Linked DNA regions of Coturnix japonica. The protein of the gene in region 1 purifies or fractionates together with the protein of each later gene. This does not show direct contact. Links are inferred from orthologs where the notes say so. Each region holds a gene or a part of one and is shown on either strand. Other genes may lie near its edges.

The links.
Region 2: the proteins of VDAC1 (region 1) and ATP5F1C fractionate together in Homo sapiens (co-fractionation; 3 studies listed by BioGRID, with this or other methods). This does not show direct contact. The link is inferred for Coturnix japonica from reciprocal best matches to the Homo sapiens genes VDAC1 and ATP5F1C.

The regions. Positions count from the first base shown.
Region 1 is NC_029528.1:2,139,181-2,149,197, reverse strand, and holds the start of VDAC1 (voltage-dependent anion-selective channel protein 1), read left to right. Parts: upstream 1-5,247; 5' UTR 5,248-5,381; intron 5,382-5,780; exon of another isoform or gene 5,781-5,802; intron 5,803-10,017. UniProt on the Homo sapiens protein: Non-selective voltage-gated ion channel that mediates the transport of anions and cations through the mitochondrion outer membrane and plasma membrane.
Region 2 is NC_029516.1:3,688,093-3,697,974, forward strand, and holds ATP5F1C (ATP synthase subunit gamma, mitochondrial), read left to right. Parts: upstream 1-3,194; 5' UTR 3,195-3,257; coding exon 3,258-3,301; intron 3,302-3,773; coding exon 3,774-3,808; intron 3,809-4,305; coding exon 4,306-4,437; intron 4,438-4,780; coding exon 4,781-4,985; intron 4,986-5,179; coding exon 5,180-5,323; intron 5,324-5,735; coding exon 5,736-5,800; intron 5,801-5,945; coding exon 5,946-6,101; intron 6,102-6,782; coding exon 6,783-6,879; intron 6,880-7,684; coding exon 7,685-7,691; 3' UTR 7,692-7,722; intron 7,723-8,549; coding exon of another isoform or gene 8,550-8,553; 3' UTR 8,554-8,683; downstream 8,684-9,882. Other genes in the region: KIN (DNA/RNA-binding protein KIN17), read right to left, coding at 1-7, 954-1,076, 1,191-1,234, 2,183-2,277, 3,004-3,117.

The DNA of each region.
Region 1 (10,017 bases):
GTCTCCTAGAACTGGAAATTGACTCAGCGGTGATAAGTGAAACTTTTGGGGTATGGGACTGGTAACGCAGAGAGGGGCAAGGTGCCTGGAAAGAAGGGCTTTGGGGGGGGGAATTGTCTATTTGCTCTTCTCTGTGCTCTGGGAGAGTATTTCTTACTGTGAGTGGTGAGCTGTAACAATCCTGTGTGAGGTGTGGTTGTCCCACGTTGGACTTGTTGGAACTGAGATTTGCTGTGACACAGATAGAATGAATTCTGGGGGCTGCTGGAGCCCAGTGCCTGTGTGTGACTGACAGAGCGGGTTCACATCCCTCTAACACCCAGCCCCAAATGTCTGAGGCTGCTCTCATGGCCTGGTAAGTCCTGCCAGCCCCAGGGCTTTGGTGTGTGTGCATGTATGCTCTGCCTTTGGATAATGGTCCCAGCACATCTTTGATGTACTTTTAAACACTGTGTGTTATGTGTGTTATTCTCTGATTTCAGTCTTGGTCCTTCCCTTACTGTTTAGTTTCCAGTTAAGCCAGACATATGCACCCATGGACATGTAAGATTTAAGCACATGCTGTGTACCATAAAGCACTGTGGGACGGGGTGCTCTGAGGGCTGAAGTTTGCTCTCTGTCTGCCTTTGTCCACAAACTTCCCTGAGCATTTCTGATCCTGCTGAGAGAAACCGCACTCCATGTAGCGTCAGCATCACTAGATGGCACATGTGAGCTGCTCTTGTCCTGGCTCAGGGCAAACCAGGCACGAGAGGTTTCTTCCCCACGTTACATCCTTCTAAATCTATTTCTGAGGGCAGGGAATGCACAAAACATCCATACTGCCCTGGGAAGTGCCATGCTGCTGTGCTCTGTCCTGGGAGCCTCAAGTCTGTGGTTCTGGTTGACCTCTGCCTTGTTCTGTTGGTGTTTATTGCACGAATTCCTGTTGCACAGTGCTGTGTGTTTGTCAGCAGTTGGAGTTTGCTCTCTGGGCTTCTGTTCCCATTCCTGCTGCAGTTCTGACAGGTTCAGGCCTTTCAGGAGCCTCCCAGGCCATTGTATTATAGATCTGCAGTGGCAAACCCCTCAAAGACACACCCCCAGTAAGAGCTGGGACTGTACTGAACCTCTCAGAGTAATGGAGCTGCATTTCCACACCACAACTGCTGTTTCTCAGAGCTAGGTGGAAAATTGCCTTTCCCTTGTCCAAGGTGGAGTAGATCAAAGAGTTGCATTTCTTCCAGACAAGAACATGCACATCTTTACAGCAAGCTGTTATTACTGTCCTTCTTGCTGGACTTAGGCCAGGCTGGATGCAAACAGGAAACTGAATCCCAAGGAGGATCAGTCCTCTGTTTTTATGTAAACACAGAACTAAAGAGTTTTAATTATTCTTGGCTCCGGTCAGCCCCTGCTCAGCCCTGCCAGGCTCAGCAGGGTGGCAGATGTGACTGGAAGGTCATAGCACTGCTCGCCACCAGCTGTAGGAAATATTCCTTTAGGAATAAATCCTCTTTTTCCTTTTTTCCCCCATATATATATATATATATATATATATATATATATATATATATATATCTCCTATACCCCAACACATGGGCTGGGAGGTGTGGACTGTAACAACCACAGAGCTCCATTCTGGGGATCTGGGAGCAGCTGTGGTGCAGCTCTTCCAGCTCAGTCACCTTCCTCCATCTTCCAGGAAAAAACAACAAAACACTTTTCCATGGAGCAGTCCCCTGCCTTCAGCTGCACACTTGTCTTGTGCTAATGCAGTTCTCAGTTTCCACCCAGGAGTGCAATTACAAGTGCGCTCAAAGTGTGACTTTAATCTGATGCCAGGCCTTGCTCAAAGGGCTGAGGAAAGTATTTTTTTTCTTGCTGCCTCCTGACCATGTCATCCTTCCTCTCAAGTTTCTGATGTTATGTTTGTGCTATTCTTGCCATCCAGCTATGGGGTTAGCTGACCAGCCTGAATATTTGGGGCTGTCTGAGCAGCGTGATTGGGGAGTGGTGGAATGAGCTTGAGAGCTGCTTGATGGCCCCATAAGATCATTAAGGTTGGAAAAGGTCATCAAGTCTAAGCACCAACCCATCGCTGCCACCCCCAACCACATCTGTTCCAGCTCCTTCCCACAAGGTCCCCTGTGGGTGCATTGCTTCCCTGTCAGACTGCCTGGGAAGGAGGTGAAGGATGGGAAAGCTGTGTGTAAAATGACAGTGCAAGAACCATCTGTGTACACCTTTCTGTGTGGGTGTATCTATCTACTCTGGGATGTGCAACCTCTTAATGAACGTTATTTGTTAGCACTAAGGAGGTGAACTCGCTCTGCTCTCCAATAGTAGTTTCTACCATCTCCAGAGCTGACTGTATCCAGAGTTATCTGGCAACAACAGAATTGTATTGTGAGCAGCACCAGAGACATGGGATGTCCTGTGTTATGTACTCACTTCTGTCCAAAGAACAGGAAAAGACCTGCAGGTTGGATGCATCCTATTTTATTGGCTACTGAAATGCAGCTGTGTTTAGGGCTGAGGATGCAGACCCAAAGCTCAGCCACATGTAGGTTTGCACTCATGCATTTTGTTCTTAACTGTACAGAGGAACCCTGAAGTGCTAGACTGCTTTGTATTAATCACATTGGTTTGCAGCTCTGTGACCACAAGTGGAAGCCTTATCTGCCAAATTAATACCAATGCTTCCTTTTACAGCAGCTCTTTGAATTTAAATAGCCTACAAGGAACATTGGCAGGTTTTTATCACTTATCTTACATACCAAATCATTGCTTCCAAGACAAGGTGGTTGTGTAGATTCAGAAATCACCGTGGCTGTCAGGACATCCTGCTGCTGTTATCTGAGATCAAAAGAAGCCGGGGGGAGTTTGCTGTTATTGTGGTCCCCTTTAATTTTCTGGTGTTCTTCTTTTCTTACTTCCTTTGGAGATAGGGATGGAGCTGTATTTGAATCAGCCCAAAGCTGTTGATGTAAAACTCACAACACGGGGCATCTGGGCAGTGTTTTCCCCTCATAATTCCATTTTAGGCAGATCATTCTTACTGGAAATAGAAGAAAAAACCACACAACTTTGCATAGGTTAAACCACGTAAAAATGATGAATGAAAGCACTGCTTCCTGCCCCTGGGTTGTGACAGAACTGAATGGGAAGGAGCACACTTTAACACACAGAAGGGCTGCCTATACCATGCCCTGAGCAGCACCACCACTGCTCCAAACAGACACAGAGCTGAACACCACCAGAAGGTGCTGATCCCATGGCTTTGTGCCTGACTCACATTTATTCCCTGTTCCCACAGCATGAAACTGCACCCAATGCAGGGTCACAGCCACACAGCGCTGGTGATACGGCACTGAGCTGAGAAATAACCCTGCTGATGGATTTATGTAACAAAGAGAGGAACAGGTTTGATTTTTCCACCAAGCACAAACCTCTCTGGGTGCTCAAGAGCCAAAGTTTCCAGCGGTGAGGAATGTTTGGATGGACCTTGTGTGTGAATTATTTGGGGTCTCATTACTTGTGGAATGAATCCATCTTTCTGTGTTCTCTGTTATTCCATTTCCACTCAGATAATGAAATTAAGACATAGCATTATCCAAACAGCAGGCAGGCAAAGTTTGAGAGGGGTCTGATGTCTAGAGGTGCCCAAAATATCTGCGTGCTCTCATTCTGCTGAAGGAATCTCTTTCCTATCGAGTGGCGTCACGAGCAGAGATTTTCCCCTTGGGGACACGCGGTGTAATCCCCGATTATCACCAGCACAATTTTCGGCTCATAGAGCGTATGGAAAATAGAGCCCTGCAGAGCAGCTGTCACCGCTGCCAGCTCCATCCCAGGGCTCTGCTGCCATCTTATGGCAGATACGCGTTATGGAAAGCGGAGCAAACGGTCCTTCCCGGAGCGGCTCCGCTTTGCAGCTCCTTCACCCGCTGCCGCATCACGCAGACACCTCCGGTCCTACCCGTGCCCTCACTGAGGAGTCCTCTGGGATATAAAAACCCCGTGAGTTAGTTAGGAAAAGATGGAGGGAATAGGCTGTATCTCTGCAGAGGATCTCGGCTCTTCTTCTTGTGCTCTTCTTTCTTTTCGTTATGCTCCCTGACTGCAGACAAGAAACGTGCTCCTTGCCAAGCACTTCATGTTCCCACACCTGCTCTTTTACAGCCTGCTTATGGCCTTTATGGTTCTGCTCCAATGCAGACATGGGAGCTTTCCATCAGCTGGAAACTAGATCTGCTCTGATCTGATAGGAAACGCTCATCCACCCCCAAAAATGGGATGAAGTGAACTGCAGAAGTGACTCCCGAGCCCTAGTGCAGGACCAAGACATGGGCTGAGCTGAGCCACCTCTGGGCTCGTGGCCCGGCTCTGGGGCTGTGTTAAGGGCCCTGGTTTATGCTGGTGCCCTTCTGAGTGCTGAGTGCTCCGGGTTTGTTTTCCAGCAGATGACTCTGATCTCCCTGTGACCCACAGCTGTGCAAACTTCTGGGGCAGTGCTGCTGGGAAAGCAATGGGGTGAGCCAAGCAAGAGTTCTGCCACTCGCTGTCTGCTCCTGGTATGCGAAGGAGAAAAGACAGGCAAGGAATCGTTATTAAAAGTAATCATATAAAAACTTGGCATGGGTGGGATGTGGACTCTTTGCAACGACTTTCCTGCCAACCCCCCTCCCCACACGCCGCGGCTATAGGGGCGGTATCAGGACCAGCAGTTCTCCGGGCGGGTTGGTGCCGCTTATCTCCGGGGGACGCTCGGAGCTCCCTGCAGGGCGGAGATGACGGTTCCTATCTCAGCCCGTGCGCAGCCCGGCACCGGCACCGGCACCTGCTGCTTTCCGACAGCGGTGTTGTGCTGCGCTGTGTCACGGGGAGGACGTGGGGTTGGACACAGCCGCAGCTGAGGCTGATTCACGTCTCCAAGAGGCAGTTCTAAAGGTGCCCAACGCCCTCGTTCACCGGAGCATCTCCACGCCCCGCGGCCGGGCCGTGCCCCGCGCTATTCGCCGCCTGCTGACTCACAGCCCGCCCGGCCACCTGCGGGAACGGCAATTCCAACCCAACGCAGCTTCCAGCCGGGGCTGAGCGCCGCGCCACGCAGGTGCTTTAGGGGTGCTGAGCCCTGATCTAACCGGGGCCGTTCGGTGCCGCTGAGTCCCGGGGAGGGCTCCCGGCACCCGGTGCGGCGGCAGAGCCCGCCCCTTCCCGCCCCCGCCGTCTGTCCCCTCCCTGCCGTCCCCGCCCGCCGTCACGCAGCCGCCACCGCAGAGCCCGGGGAGGCGCCGGGCCGGGGCCGGAACAGGGACGGGGACCGGGGGGGCCGCAGGAGCCCGAGGCGGCGCCGGGAGCGGGAGCGCAGCGCGGTGCTGCCGCCGCGGCGGGGCCAGGTAGGGCCAGGGGGGTCCGGAGCGCCGGGTCACCGTGGTGCGGGGGGGGGCGGCCGGCGCCGGGTGGCAGCTGGCGGCGGCTCGTGGCAGTTGTTCTTTTTGCCCTCCGAGCCGCGTCACATCGGGAATAACTGTTTTCTTACGTAATGTTCGGCACCCGGTTACGAAATCACGGCGCGGCGCCGGGGCCGTGACAGCTGAGGCCGGGCGTGACGGAGCCCCCCGGGTCGGGAGCCGCGGCTGGGGGCGGTGTGAGCCGCGGGGCTCCCGGCGCTGCGCTGCCCCTGCGCCGAGCGAAGGTCGGCGGCCGCGCCCGGCACCTGCACTGCCCCGCTCCGGCTGCGTGGGGACGCGGGGGGGCAGCGCGGTGGCCTCGGGTCACCTCGGAAGCTCAGAGCGGCCGAGCCGCGGCCCTTCGCTGGTTGGTTTCACTTGCGTTTATTCTTCAAGTTCAGTTCTCGCGGTGGGGGGAAATGGCCGTCTGGAAACGTGCACGAGTCGGGTTTGCACTGGGAGCTCTGGGCGGCTGCGGTGGGAGCTGCCTCCATTGTGCATCGTCACAGCCTCGCTGGGTACAACAGCTGCTGGAGGGTGATGGAGACCGTCCGACATGGGGGGTTTGGTTTAAAAAAAAGGAAAAAGAGAGAAAAACGTCAGAACGCGAAGCAGAGCTGACTCATCCTGCCCGAGCCGTGCACGCCGCGGAATATTGTGGGGAATGTTCGTGGCGATGCTGACACCGCGCTGTGATGGGGGTCAGGAGCACTTGGAGGTTTCTGCTCAGTGCAGGGGATGCTCGAGGGTTCGGGTTGGATATCAGGAGCGATTTCCATCGGTGATGGACAGGCATGGGCTGCGCAGGGAGCGGGGGTCGCCATCCGCAGAGCTGCTCCAGAATGTGGGGACGTGGCACCTGGGGACACATCAATGGGCGCAGTGGGGCTGGGGTTGGATTTAATGGTCTTGGATGATCTTTTCAACTTTAATGATTCTGTGATTCGTCTGCCTCAGGGAATTTAATCAGTGTGATCTGCTCAGAGTTCCTTCCAAAAAGGCCTTATGAAGGCAACCTACTATAATCCCCACACCCAGAATGCTCTGTGGAAGGCATACACATATCCACAGCCTGCACCCTTTATTCCAGCCTGTTTGGGACTGTGATGACATGTGGGGCATCAATGGGGATGTGGGGCATTAATGGGGTTGCCCTGGCAGCAGGAGTGATGTCCCCATGGGATGCAGTCAGGGAGCTCCTCACCTATGTGTGCTGCAGGGAGAGAGAACCCATATTGCTCTTCTTTGGTGCTGGAGGAGCAAGGTGTCAAAACGTGCTGGGAGGGGAGGTGTTGTTTCAATGAGTCACCCCTATTGGTGGATGTGAGGCATTGCTGCAGAGGGGCCGGGCACAAGGGATGTGTCCCTGAGCACGTTTGAGCTGAGCCCCCTTGGGTGCACGGAGAGCCCTGAACTGCTGGGAGTGACAGCAGCGCTGCTCCTTTCCTGGTCTGCAGGCGGCTGGAAGGAGCCGAGAGTTACTGTCATTTCTTAATTCAATGCACGGCATGTGCACTTCTTCCTCCTTGCACTTCTAATGCAAACAGCAGCTACAACAGGCTGCGGCATCCCCAGCTCTGTTAAATTGATATTTATGTGTGATCGCTTAATTAGGGGGTTTGGTACAACACTGCTCATAATTTATACCCGTGCAATTAAGAGCAGACTCTTTCTTTCTTTAATTCTGTAAATATTAGTTCAGGCTAAATCACAGTATTTACGTTTGCTTTTAAGCTGTTTATTTCCCTTCTGCTCCAGTGTTTGTTGTGCTACAGATCCATGGCATCAATCCATCCTTAAAGATGAAATCTGCTCTATGGTGCATGTAGTTTGAAAGCAGAGCTGCAGTGGGAAGGCTGTGGTCCTGCAGGTGCTGTAGATCATCACAAGGACGCTGCACATTTTCACTATTACCTGCATGAATGAAACTGCAGACTGCAGGGCTGTAAATCTTGAGCCATGCAGCTCTGTGGATGTGTGATGGCACAGCACACGTTGGGGCAGAGAATCTTATCGTGTGCTCTGTTCCATAATGCAGAGCATTTACAAACTTCAGGCATCTCCTAAAGCTCATATCTGTGCCTGACGTGGTGTGTGACCCCATGGCACTACCTGGTGATTTGTGGCTTCATTTATTTTCACGTCTCTGCAGAACTGGGACTCTGAGCACGCTGCCACCAGGGCTCAAATGGCCTTGAGATGTGAGTGGGGAAAACCAAACTGCACAGGCAGTGCTGGGCACAGCAGTGAGTGCAGCACCTGGCAGGGCAGGGGGCTGTGCCCACACATTGAGCGCTGTGGGCTATTGCAGATAAACCACAAGGGGAAATAAATGGCTGCATATCTGCGAGCCCAGAAATGTGCTTAAGAGCTACTTCATACCAAGGAATAGTTTTTCTTTCCATAAAGGAGCTGAATAGGAAGTGTATCAGGTTTTTTTTGGTCTTGAGGCGGAAGATCCTCACGTGGTGATACCAGCATTGGTTGGTGTCACAGCCTGATGCGGTTCCTCCCAGCCCATGTATCATAGAGATGCGTCCCTTGGCATCTGCTGTGCACCAGAGCTGTAGTGCTCATCCTCACGGGCACAGGGAGCAGAAGCATTTAGACCTGTGGGTATCAGTCAAGGAATGCTGCGCAGGTTCAAGTTTATTAGGAAAAATGTGACTAGAGTAACATTAAATCCAGCCTTTTTGTTTTCTTAACCTCAAATCTGATAGACTCCCATTGTCCTGTTGGAAGCTTAATCATCCATTGGTTATATTCTTAATTTTTTTTGAGAGCTCCTCCCCTCGTTTAAGTGTCATGTAGTTGATCAGTCTGTGTAGGGAAGCATCAAGTAAGAGAGTAACCCATCACAGAGACAGACTCACATTTACAAAGGACTCCCTGATGGCTTTTGCTGTCTGCTGGGGCCAAGTTTGCTTTCATCCCCAGACCCACCCTGCAGAGTGAAACTGCCATCTGTGACACTGGGAAATATTTCAGTGCCTTCTGCTGGGCTGCCTTGTGTTCAGAGAAATCTTGGCTGGGGCTGTGGGTGCCTCAGTCACGACTCGCATGGCAGTGTTACCCATTCAAGAACATGGAAATATTTTACTACTTAAACATGTAGTACGTGACCTCCCTGGTCTGCTTTGTGCTGGAGCTGGTATATGTGGTCACTCTGAGATGCTTGCACAATTGGAGAAGGATGAGAGCAATGATTTCATTTCACTCCTACCCTAATCTGAGTTAATGTGCTGAGATCCTACTGGTGAAAAGCAAGGGCACTTGGCCACGGCCATGCCTTGATCCTTTAAGAGTTTGAATCCCCGCTAAGCATGCTTGTCTTCCAACCTGCACTCACACAGGATGTAATCAGTTTTGTTTTCCATCTGTTAAACAAGAGGCTTTGATTAGCCCATGCAAACAGAAATAATTATTTTTCTTCTTGCTGATGATGACAACAGCAGAGTTAACCAGCACGTGCATATTTCATCACCTTTCCCACACTCGCAATTGCAAGCACCTTGTTCTGTGTGTTTTACCTGATTTGCCTTACAACAGGGATTTGGCTTCCAGTATTGTCCCTTAATTATAGTAATTGCCTAAGTGGAGATCTCAGCATCTCCTGCTGTCCCGTGGCAGCCCTGTCTGTGCTGCAGCCTGACCTGGCCTGTCCACCTGGCAAATACAAACGCTCTGCTCAGCCCAACCCAAACTCACAAGGCTTCCAATTTTCGAGGAAATAGTTTGATTTTTATGGAGTGACTCAAAGGGGCTGCTGGTAAAATATGTCTGATAGATGCCAATGTGCAGCTGGAGGAGCAGTGTGGTCTGATTGTCCAATGGAGAGATTGTAGCATTCTGAATTTTTGATGATGCTAAATGGAAATACCCATCAGAGGGTTCTCCTGAGACCGGGCTGCTCTGGCTGGGAAGATGCATTCCTCAGCCTTAGTGACCCATCCCTCCATATCCTGTGCTGGGGGCCCTATTAATTCCACTGAGCTCTGCCCCAGGCTGTGATCTCCAGCTCGTGGTGCTGTGCTCTTGGGGACCTCAGTTGAGGAGCAGAGGATCTCCTCAGAGATGTTTTTAAGTACTTGGTTTGTTCATTGGTGGATTTCTAAAGGATGGTTTTGTGTTTCCAGAATCACACCTGATCCGCTGTTGAGATGGTTTGTCCTGTAGAGAGCAGTGCTTGCAAACTTTAAATCCCAGCATTCACAATTCTGTAAGAAATGGAGACATTTAGGCCTGATGTGATCCAAAGATCAGTGATGCAGTGGCACAGCTGGCTGGGGGTTGGGAGGTGGGAGTCCCCAACCCTGGTGGTGTTCCAGAGCTGTGGGGATGTGGCACTGGGGGACACAGTGGGGTGGGGTTGGACTCAGTCACCTTGGAAGTCCTTTCCAACCTTAATGATTCTGTGATTCCACGCAGGTAATGTCCCCAGCTGAAGCTGCACTGCAGCGTGCACTTTGCTTTCAGTGCGTTCTGTGAACATCGTTGGCTTTGATTCAGCCACCAGATCCAGTTTGTTCCCTCCAGGATAGGGATTCCTCGCTTATGCAATAGCAATATCCTGCTTCAACAG
Region 2 (9,882 bases), on another chromosome or scaffold:
CAAAGGCCTAAAAACCCAACACAAGACAAAGTAAGATGAATACTAACAAAAACAAGAAAGTAACAAAAAAACCCATCATTTTCCTAGGCCACGTTCAATATAAGAATGTAAAAACTTCACCAGATGTACCTTTACAATGTATCTCTTACCGGACTTGTAAAATTGACTTTAAATTGCCCTTAGTAACTACTTATGCCCTTAAGCTAGCAAGTTCTATTTGGAAATGAGCCAAAATATGTAGTAAAAGAGGATGGAACATTCTGTATCACTTTCCTTATGGAAGAAAACATTTCCTTCTCATTGTTTTAACAGGGAAGAAAACAGCACTCTAACATATATAAACACTACAGAGCAACAGCATCAAACTATAGGAAACTTTACTGTGCAACACTGTTGTTACTGGCACTCATTAGAGTGACTTTTCAAGCACTCTGTGACTCATGAATGTATCCTGTAGCACACAGAGGACTGAAACCAATTTAAACATTACACAGCACTGTGGTATGACATAACCTCTGCTCCTCCCACGGAAAGCAAAACTGCAGATGTCAGATTTGAAGCTTGTATTAGGATAGGAATGAAAACAATATAACGCTTCTTGTCACCACATATACTGAGGGATTCTGGAGTTGTAAGAAATGTCCTATCATAGTTCACACTTTTTAAATGACAACTGTTGGAAGCTGACTTAGAATTTAGCAACAGCTACAAGGAAAAAACAAGGAAAGGTTTGTAAGTGATACATTTATCTCAGATCTCTGCCACTTTTCATAAGGAAATTCCATTGCTTAATACAGAACTCTATTTGGATATGTGTTAATATAGATGCAGGAGGGGAGGGTTATGGAAGAAAAGGAAACAGGAGAATTAACACAAATGCTTACTGATTACTCATCAACAAAGCAACTACCCAATAGTTTTATAATGTCATAACCCATAACAACAATATTTACCTTCTCTCCCCAACCATTTTGTAAAATCAGTCAGTGTCTCCCATTGCGTTGCATTCATGTGGATGTGTTCTCGGTGACTGATGTATTCGTTGTACACGATGTTATTGTGGACTCTCTTTGTTCCTAAAACAGAGTTATTATGAAGTGTAAGTATGGGACCCAGGAGAAACCAACCAAAACTTTCTGCACAAAATCAAAAGGCATTAAAAGCAAAAGAAAAAAAAGTAAAATATTTACCAAATCGTCTCCTGAGCAGTTCTAAGAAATCATTCCGGAACTCCCTTAGGGGATATAAAGAAAAGGATTTAAACCAAAATTATGTAATTACACAGAAATGTTCAATTGTCATTAATAATGAAATATCTGCAGTATAGACTATTCTTTTGAACTGAGTACGATGAAGTTCAGACACCTGTTTCCCACCTTTGGTAAGACAGCGTGAAGTGCAGCCTGTATACACAAAGAGACACAGTATGGTACATGCACACACAAGTTTAATCTTCTAAAGGATAATACCCTTTCAAAGGGATAAAATGGAAAGAACTGAACTCTAAACACTTCCCACTAATTGCTGGTATTTCATTACCAGGTATCTCCCAAGGTTGACTAACACTGACACAAAACACGAGGCAGAACAAAGCGAAGTAGTGGTAGACTGGGTAGACAGATCACTCATCTCCCTGCTAATTCAATGGCTTAAAGATAAAGCCTCCCTTCAGCCTCACGCTGAAGACAGTTCCAGTCAGCCCTGCAGTCAGGTAGGTCAGATGGACAAAGGGATCAGGGGAACAGTGGGATGTTATTCATACAGCTGACTCCTTATCTTCATGTGATGGTTCTTTTAGCTCTTTGTAATTCTGCAGCTCTGACAGTCACTTAGCTGGGACACAAGCAGTGACATGCTTCATAATGAAGAGCAAATTAAAACAGGACTCGGGCATGGAATAAAATTATCAAGTTTGGGATTAAAAAAATAAAAGGATCTGGGATAAAAATTGCCACATTTGGGATAAAAAAAGAAGTTAAATGAGATAGAATTGTCAACTTTTAAATATCACAGCACCCTTACACTTACATGCTTTCAAAAGCAAACTTTTCACATAGTCACTATATGAAACAGCCGACACTAAAATACATCAGAATCAAGTGTCTTCAATGGGACATAACTGGGCTTTAGGGGTATGGCCGTGCAGATTTGACACATGGGTAAGAATACATGGCAAACTTACTCAGAAAAGTAGTTCAGGAATTGCTGAGGATTTTCAGAAGCCAGCAGTAATTGCCTCTGGTGAGATTCAGACATGCAATGACATTTGAAGCCATTCTGGAAAATAAAGAAAAACATTTTATCTGCCTTTGTCTCCATTTGCAACACACAGCTTTAAAAGTAAATTAAGATATTGTTTTCTAAGTGAAATCTCTTGGAGGCTTTCACATAAAACACTCAAACCCAACCACAGTCTAGCAATACAGATTGGCTGTTTCTCCTAACTAGGACATAACAAAGGTCCTCTTGCTCCCTTGTGGAATGGGATCGATGTGGCACCACCTGGTCCATCTATCCAGGCAAAAGGAGTGGAAATACTTGCTGATTCCCCGCCTGACATGCACTCAGATGTTGGAGGTTTGGCTACACCCTTCAAATGAACAGAGAAGTGAAAACAGGGGGAAGCATCAGAGAAAAATCATCTCTTTATAACAGGAGAAGGAGGGAAGAAACAGACAGAATCAGAAGGTTGGAAAGAGACCTTGCTTGTGATTTCAAGGCTTGCATGTCCAAAGCACAACTACCCCAGACTCCTGATGGAATAATTCCTAACCCTTTCAGGGCATCCTAATGGGGTTAAGAAAAGCTCAGGACCATGTTTTCTCCAAAACACTTCAGGGCTTTCCCCCACAGGGTTTATAATGGCATATATCCCTAGCCCAGGTGGTTGGGAACCCCTCAAACCCCACTCAGCCCTTCATATCATACATGAGGGATCAGGAACCCCACAGAGAAACGGAGGACCCCAAAGCACCAAACACAGCCCGGCCCGCTTCACCTCACCTCATCTCGGCACTGCTTCTGGCACATCTGGCAGTACCAGCGTAGCTTCTGCAGCCCTTTAGACTTAATGCGGTTGGCGATAGCCTTTGGGCTGAGGAAATCCGACTTCCCCATGGCGTTTTCTACCTTTTTTCACCCCTTATTTTCTCGTCCCGGATGAGACGGAGCGACCTCGGAAGCGATCATCGAGGCTCCGGGCGCCTGCGCGGGACGGGCGGGCTGACCTTCAGCAGAGCTGGGCTGCAGGCGCCGCCATGTTCGCGCGGGGCTCCGCCGTGGTGCTGTACCAGCCGCAATGGTAAAGGGGGGAAACCAGCGGGTTGTGGTTACCGGGTTGTGCCTGAGAGGGGCTGGGGGTTCGTGGAGGAACGAGGGAACGCGGGGATGTGGGGAGGATGGAGGGCTCTGTCCTCCGCTTTGCGGGCCTGAGGCTGGTTGGAGGTGGAAGGGCGCTCTGTGTGAGGTGAATGGCACTGCAGGGACGTCCTGCTGATGGCTGCGAGCCCCGCTGTTTCGTTGTTTTAATCGTTTAAAAAAGAAAGAAAGCTCTGTTTTTCGTGTGTATTTGCCCTTCTGACGCCCTTCTGCGTGGCCTTTGTTTTCGTTGTCACACAAAAAATGTGAAAGGTTTGTTATAAGGCCTCGTTTTGAAGTGTCCTTACTAAGAAATGGGTGTTTCTATATGCTCTCTGAAGAGACCTGACCTTGATGGATATTTGCTTGCTGGAGAGCTAATGATCTCTCCTAATCACTCCTGCTTTCACTTCCAGGGGCCAAGTCAGGAATATGGCAACTCTGAAAGACAGTAAGTGCTGCTTTTGTCTGCTTTGAACAGAAGGGAAATGCAGGAGGTGTTAAATTAAAGCATGATTTCACTTGGCTTCTGTCGGATGAAGTGATGGTTGTGGATTGTAACACTGACATGTGAGCCTCCAGCACTTGTGTCAAACAAGTGTCCTTCATAAACTTCCCCCCCCTTCAGGGGGAAGATCTTTACTATGAGAGTGGTGAGGTGATGGCACAGCCTGCCCAGAGAGGTTGTGGATGCTCCGTCCCTAGAGGTATTCAAGGCTGGGTTGGATGGGGCCCTGGGCAGCCTGGTCTGATGGTTGGCAACCTTGCACACATCAGGGGGGTTGAAGCTAGATAGTCATTGTGATCCTTTTCAACTCAAGCCATTCTATGATTCTATGAACTTCAGGAGAGATTTCTGGATAGCCATTGCTTATGTTTTATTGTTTGCTTTCAATCTCTTGTGCTCAATGTAGCCCAATTTTGACCTTCAGCTTTTAACCTTGTTAGTTACCAGGCGCTTGAAATCCATCAAGAACATTCAGAAAATTACAAAGTCCATGAAGATGGTTTCTGCAGCAAAGTATGCAAGAGCTGAGAGGGAGCTGAAGCCTGCTAGAATATATGGAACAGGAGCACTGGGTGAGAGAAGGCTCTTGCTACCAAACATACTTTTAAATGCTTGAACTGCACATGCTTCTCAAACATTGCACTTGCAGTCAGTGTCACTGTTTACTTGTAGTTCACTATAATACCTGACACAAAGATGCAGGTGGCTTTGAATTACTTCTTTATCACCTTTGGTCAGCTAACCTGCAAGCTTGAATGATTGTGATGGAGATAAAAATGCATCTGGTTGCGATTTGAAACAATTTGGAAATGATTTATGAAATTTGAAGTTAGTTGAAGATGTTTTGATAGGACAGATTTTCTTCTTGACCCCCTTGAATATCTTGCCCATCTTGTTCGTTTTGTTTTTCCTCAGCACTGTATGAGAAAGCAGAAATTAAGGCACCCGAGGACAAGAAGAAGTATCTCCTTATTGGCGTGTCCTCTGATCGAGGTCTGTGTGGTGCTATCCATACATCTATTGCTAAGACCTTGAAGAATGAGATTACCAACCTCTCCAATGCAGGGAAGGAAGTTATGGTGGTTGGTGTAGGCGACAAGATTAGAGGCCTACTTCAAAGGTAAAAAGGGAGAGGGGTTTGGTTTTGGTCATGCTGGTGTATCATAATTTAACTGAGGGATGGGGGCAGGAAAGCCAAGTGAAATGCTTAGTTGTTGAACATTAGCAGTTAGTGCTGCTGCTTGCCTCTTGGTGCCACACAGCTGTGCATTGGAGCACCAACTTGCTCCTGACGCATATTTCACATTACTACAGGACACATGGCAATTACTTCTTGATGACATTCAAAGAAGTGGGACGGAGACCTCCCAGTTTTGGAGATGCTTCAATCATTGCTTCAGAGTTATTAAACTCTGGATATGAATTTGATGAAGGCTCTGTCATCTACAATCGGTTCAGGTAAGATAAAACTGAAGCTGCACTAGGAAGATGTTGAATAGATTTCAAAACAGCATATTGGTTGAATTAAGTAAAATGGGAAAACTGTTCAGATTTTGTTGAAAAGTCAGTGCATCTTCTTATTATGTGTGAAGAACATGTTTGCCATGGGTATTTTTTAATAGATATGGTTGAAATTCTATAGTGTTTCGAAGCACTATAGTTTCTAAACACATTTTCTATAGCATGCGCTGTTGTGTTTACAGTCAGTACATTATTATATCCTTAGGTTATTTGATATCTCCTCATGGGGAGCACAACAAGACTTTGAAGAATTGGAAGGCCAGAAGTTGTCTGTGTCCTAACTTGATATCAAATGCTCAGTTTAGGCTCTTCAGTCAAATAAAACCTATTATGCTATTTTTTTATACAGATCTGTCATCTCCTACAAGACTGATGAAAAACCTATCTACTCTTTTGAAACAGTTGCTGGTTCTGGTAAGTACTTGTGAAAGTACACGTAAGGTGACATGGAGGGATGTAGTAAATGGAGAAAAGCTAATTTAGTCGTTTTCTATATGACGTTGTATCATTACAATTAGTACAGCCTGCAGTTCTGACTCGACTCATTCCTATTTTTCAGAAAGCTTGAGTATCTATGATGACATTGATGCTGATGTGCTGAGAAACTACCAGGAATTTACACTAGCAAATATTCTGTACTACTCCCTGAAAGAATCTACCACCAGCGAGCAGAGCGCTAGGATGACTGCTATGGACAACGCAAGCAAAAATGCTTGTAAGTCTATATGGATTTTCTAGGTGTTGGTGTCTGTCGTGTTGCTGGTCTGAGGATTTTGAGAATATGAAGATGAGAATATGCTGGTATACCTTGTAAAGTGTCCAAACTGAGTGCACTGCAGTTGGTATCGGTGGGCAATGGCTAATAGCATTTAATGTGGCATAGTGATATGATTCCAGCTTCAAGAAGATAGCGATGCATAAAAAATACTGATGGCTGAATGAAGCTTATGTTTTATGCAGTAGGGTTACCTGGAACTGTAAGTATGGGTCTCTGCTGATCTCTTTATCTTGAATGTAGTGATAAAGTCTCCATTAAAAAATAGGAAGAATGGCTCCGTTTGCCAGAACACAGAACTTGAAGGAAATACTGTTGTTGATTGAGGGACATTAACGATGCAATAATACACAATTGGAATTCATTTAAAAATGAGTGATGTGCTACAAGATATTTACTAGTCTGTCGGCTGTTCTTCATATGTTTAATTCTGATGCCTCAAGACAAATTATCCCCTTTCTAGATTGTCTGTTAGTAGTGTTATCTGTAGGGAAAACTGGAAAGTCCAGTAAGCCACTTGATCATACACATGGATCTACAAGTCTACGTGGTATTCTATTCATAGAACTTGTATTTGAATGGTCATTATATGCTTAAATTCCAACTTTAATTTTTTCCTAGCTGAGATGATCGACAAACTGACTTTGACATTCAACCGTACCCGTCAAGCAGTTATTACTAAGGAGCTTATTGAGATCATCTCTGGTGCTGCTGCTCTGTGAGTACCTGTATACCAATGAAACAGATGTGGTTGCAATGTGATGTAATGCTCATGCCCTCCTTCAGGCGGGTTAACAGGGAAGGTTAAGGCATGAAAAGCAGGACAATCCATGGCATTGCTTCCATGCTTTGCTTGTGGCAATTGTACTAACAAGTGTGGTGAAATTTGACCAGGTATAATTGAAATGCCGGTAGACTATATCTTAAACCTTGACACAAATCCTTGACTGAGCAGGGAAAGTTTTCTGCTCCTTCTTCTTCCACTTGGATTCTTCATACTCTGCTCAAATAGCCCAGTTCATTGTTGTAGAACAGTTTTGGATGCATAGAGAGCAATTCAGGTGACTGAGACGCCTTTGGAGAAATCATTCTGTGATGGTGTGTGGGGGGTTGGGGTTGGAAGGAGAAATATAGCTGGCATCAATGGATTCTGGATATATGTATGATAAATGTTGAAGCCGAGTATATTGCTGCATTGCCTGAGAATGAAGTTTTGCAACTGTGTGTTCTATAGGTTACAAAATGTGTGGGCTTAGACCACAATTTGTAACCACATGTAGATGACGTGCATTCCATCTAACTGTTAAAAACGTTGTGCTATGCTCAAAGATGTAAGTATGTGTGGTGATATTCTGTGTATTTGCAAAATGTCTGGAATACGTAACACATTGCAGTTCTGAGCTGTATTATGTCCCTCACAATACAGTCATAAATACTTGCATAGTTTTGCCTTAATTTGCATGATTTGCTTCTTAACCTGCTTGTTCTGTTGTGTTTTTTTTTCCTCATAACATCTTAACCAGGGATTAATCGGCAAAAGAGGTTTGGCCAAATCCAAGAGGTAAAGTTATGGAATAGAGACTAGATTGTCTGTATTAATCTATTTTTAAATGCAATCTTGAAGCCAGATGAGAAAGTCTGAATTCAGAGATAGCAGTCAGACCCATTTCTTCTCCCACACATGTAGGAAATAGCCATTGCTTTCTGTTTGGGCAGATACAAGCACCAATAAATCTTAAACAAAACACATCCATGATAGCATACATCTGCATTTAACAGGTTTCTGACAATATTGCTGACAATAGCAGGACACGTGGAAATGGTTTTAAGTTAAAAGAGGGAAGATTTAGGTTGGATGTTAGGGGGAAGTTCTTCACTAGGAGAGTGGTTAGGCCCTGGAACAGGCTGCCCAGGGAGGTTGTGGATGCCCCGTCCTTGGAGGTGTTCAAGACCAGGTTGGACGGGGCCCTGGGCAACCTGATCTAGTAAAGGTGTATGTTTGGTGGCCCTGCCAGGCAGGGGGGTTGGAACTACATGATCCTTGAGGTCCCTTCCAACCCGGGTCATTCTGTAATTCTGTGATTTCTGTGGGTTTGTTTAATCTTTGAGTTATTGGATCGATTTGAAAGTATTGCTTCATATTTTCATAATGCCCTGACATTGGGCTGTGACTTAAAATGCCTGTTTGTAAAACATTACTCCTGAAGAGGAGTTTGTAGCAAAATAAGCACTTAAAGCTTCAAATAGAGAGAGTCGGAGGGGAGGAGGGTGTAAGGAAGAATGAATTCTTAAGGCACTGAAATCTTAAGGCACTTAAAATCAGAGGTGATGCATCTTAAAAAGAAGCATTGATTGAAAGATATTAATTTGTTTCAATTTGCCTTACAGGTGAAGAATAATTCTGAGCGTCTGATTGAACTCGCCTGTGTTCATTAATAAGACAGCTCTGCTATTTTGTGAAGAAGCGGCGAAGCCCCAGAAATATCTGTACATTCTTACAATAAACTCCTTCATGAGACACACATTATTGGTTGTCGATGCCTTTGGGTTTGACTCGGTTACTCTTTGAAACGTAGGGGTTATGTTTAAAGCCGTGCTCTGTATTTTGTAATTCCTGGTATAGAAAGTCAGCTGTCCTGGAAGCTGTAGCATCAAGTGCTGCTGGATCAGTGCAATTCCTCATTCACAGCCACAGACCTGAAGTTTCTTAAGAACAGTTTTATTTAGGACACTTAAATCAAGCTTTGGCCCTAATGTTCTCTGACTTTGGAGTCGCTGTGGTAGATACAGCAATTGCTCCACATCAAAGTTTATGTGCTAATGGTATATTAAATATTTCTTTATGGAACCCAAGGAATAGCATGTTTACAGGGCAGTTATATCCAAGCTCTTGAATCCTAAGTTAATTAATTAATGGTAACTTAATGTGGTTTCAAAAAGGGGCCTGTGCATTTGCAGGCCTTTAGAACACTCATATATTTCAATGAACACTAATATATTTCATATATTTCAAAGCTTTGGGAGGCTGGTTCAGCACTCAGAGCTTCTCCATGGATTGAAGAGAGTAAGCAAAGCACACACACCTGTCCTAAGCAGTGATGAACTGCAGGACTTTATCATGGGTCCAGCTACCTGCACTACAGCAGGCTCGGGATGGGACTGATCTAATAGACTATAGACTGTTAATTGACTAATCAGCACTCTAATAAATCAAGCAGCCAACTTGTCAACTGATCAACTTCTCATAAGACACCACTCCTATTTAGTCCTGTGCTTCTCGCTCCAGTTACAAACTCACTTTGAATTATTCAGCTTATACTGTGGTATAAGGCTGGAAAACCTATGAGGACAGGCTGTGGGAGTTGGGTTTGTTCAGCCTGGAGAAGAGAAGGTTGCGGGGTGACCTCATTGCAGCCTTTCAATACCTGAAGGGAACTTACTCCCAGGAGGGGAGTAAACTCTTCAAAAGGGCTGATAATAGCAGCACTAGGGGAAATGGTTTTAAGTTAAAAGAGGGAAGATTTAGGTTGGATGTTAGGGGGAAGTTCTTTACTAGGAGAGTGGTTAGGCCCTGGAACAGGCTGCCCAGGGAGGTTGTGGATGCCCCGTCCTTGGAGGTGTTCAAGACCAGGTTGGACAGGGCCCTGGGCAACCTGATCTAGTAAAGGTGTATGTTTGGTGGCCCTGCCAGGCAGGGGGGTTGGAACTCCATGATCCTTGA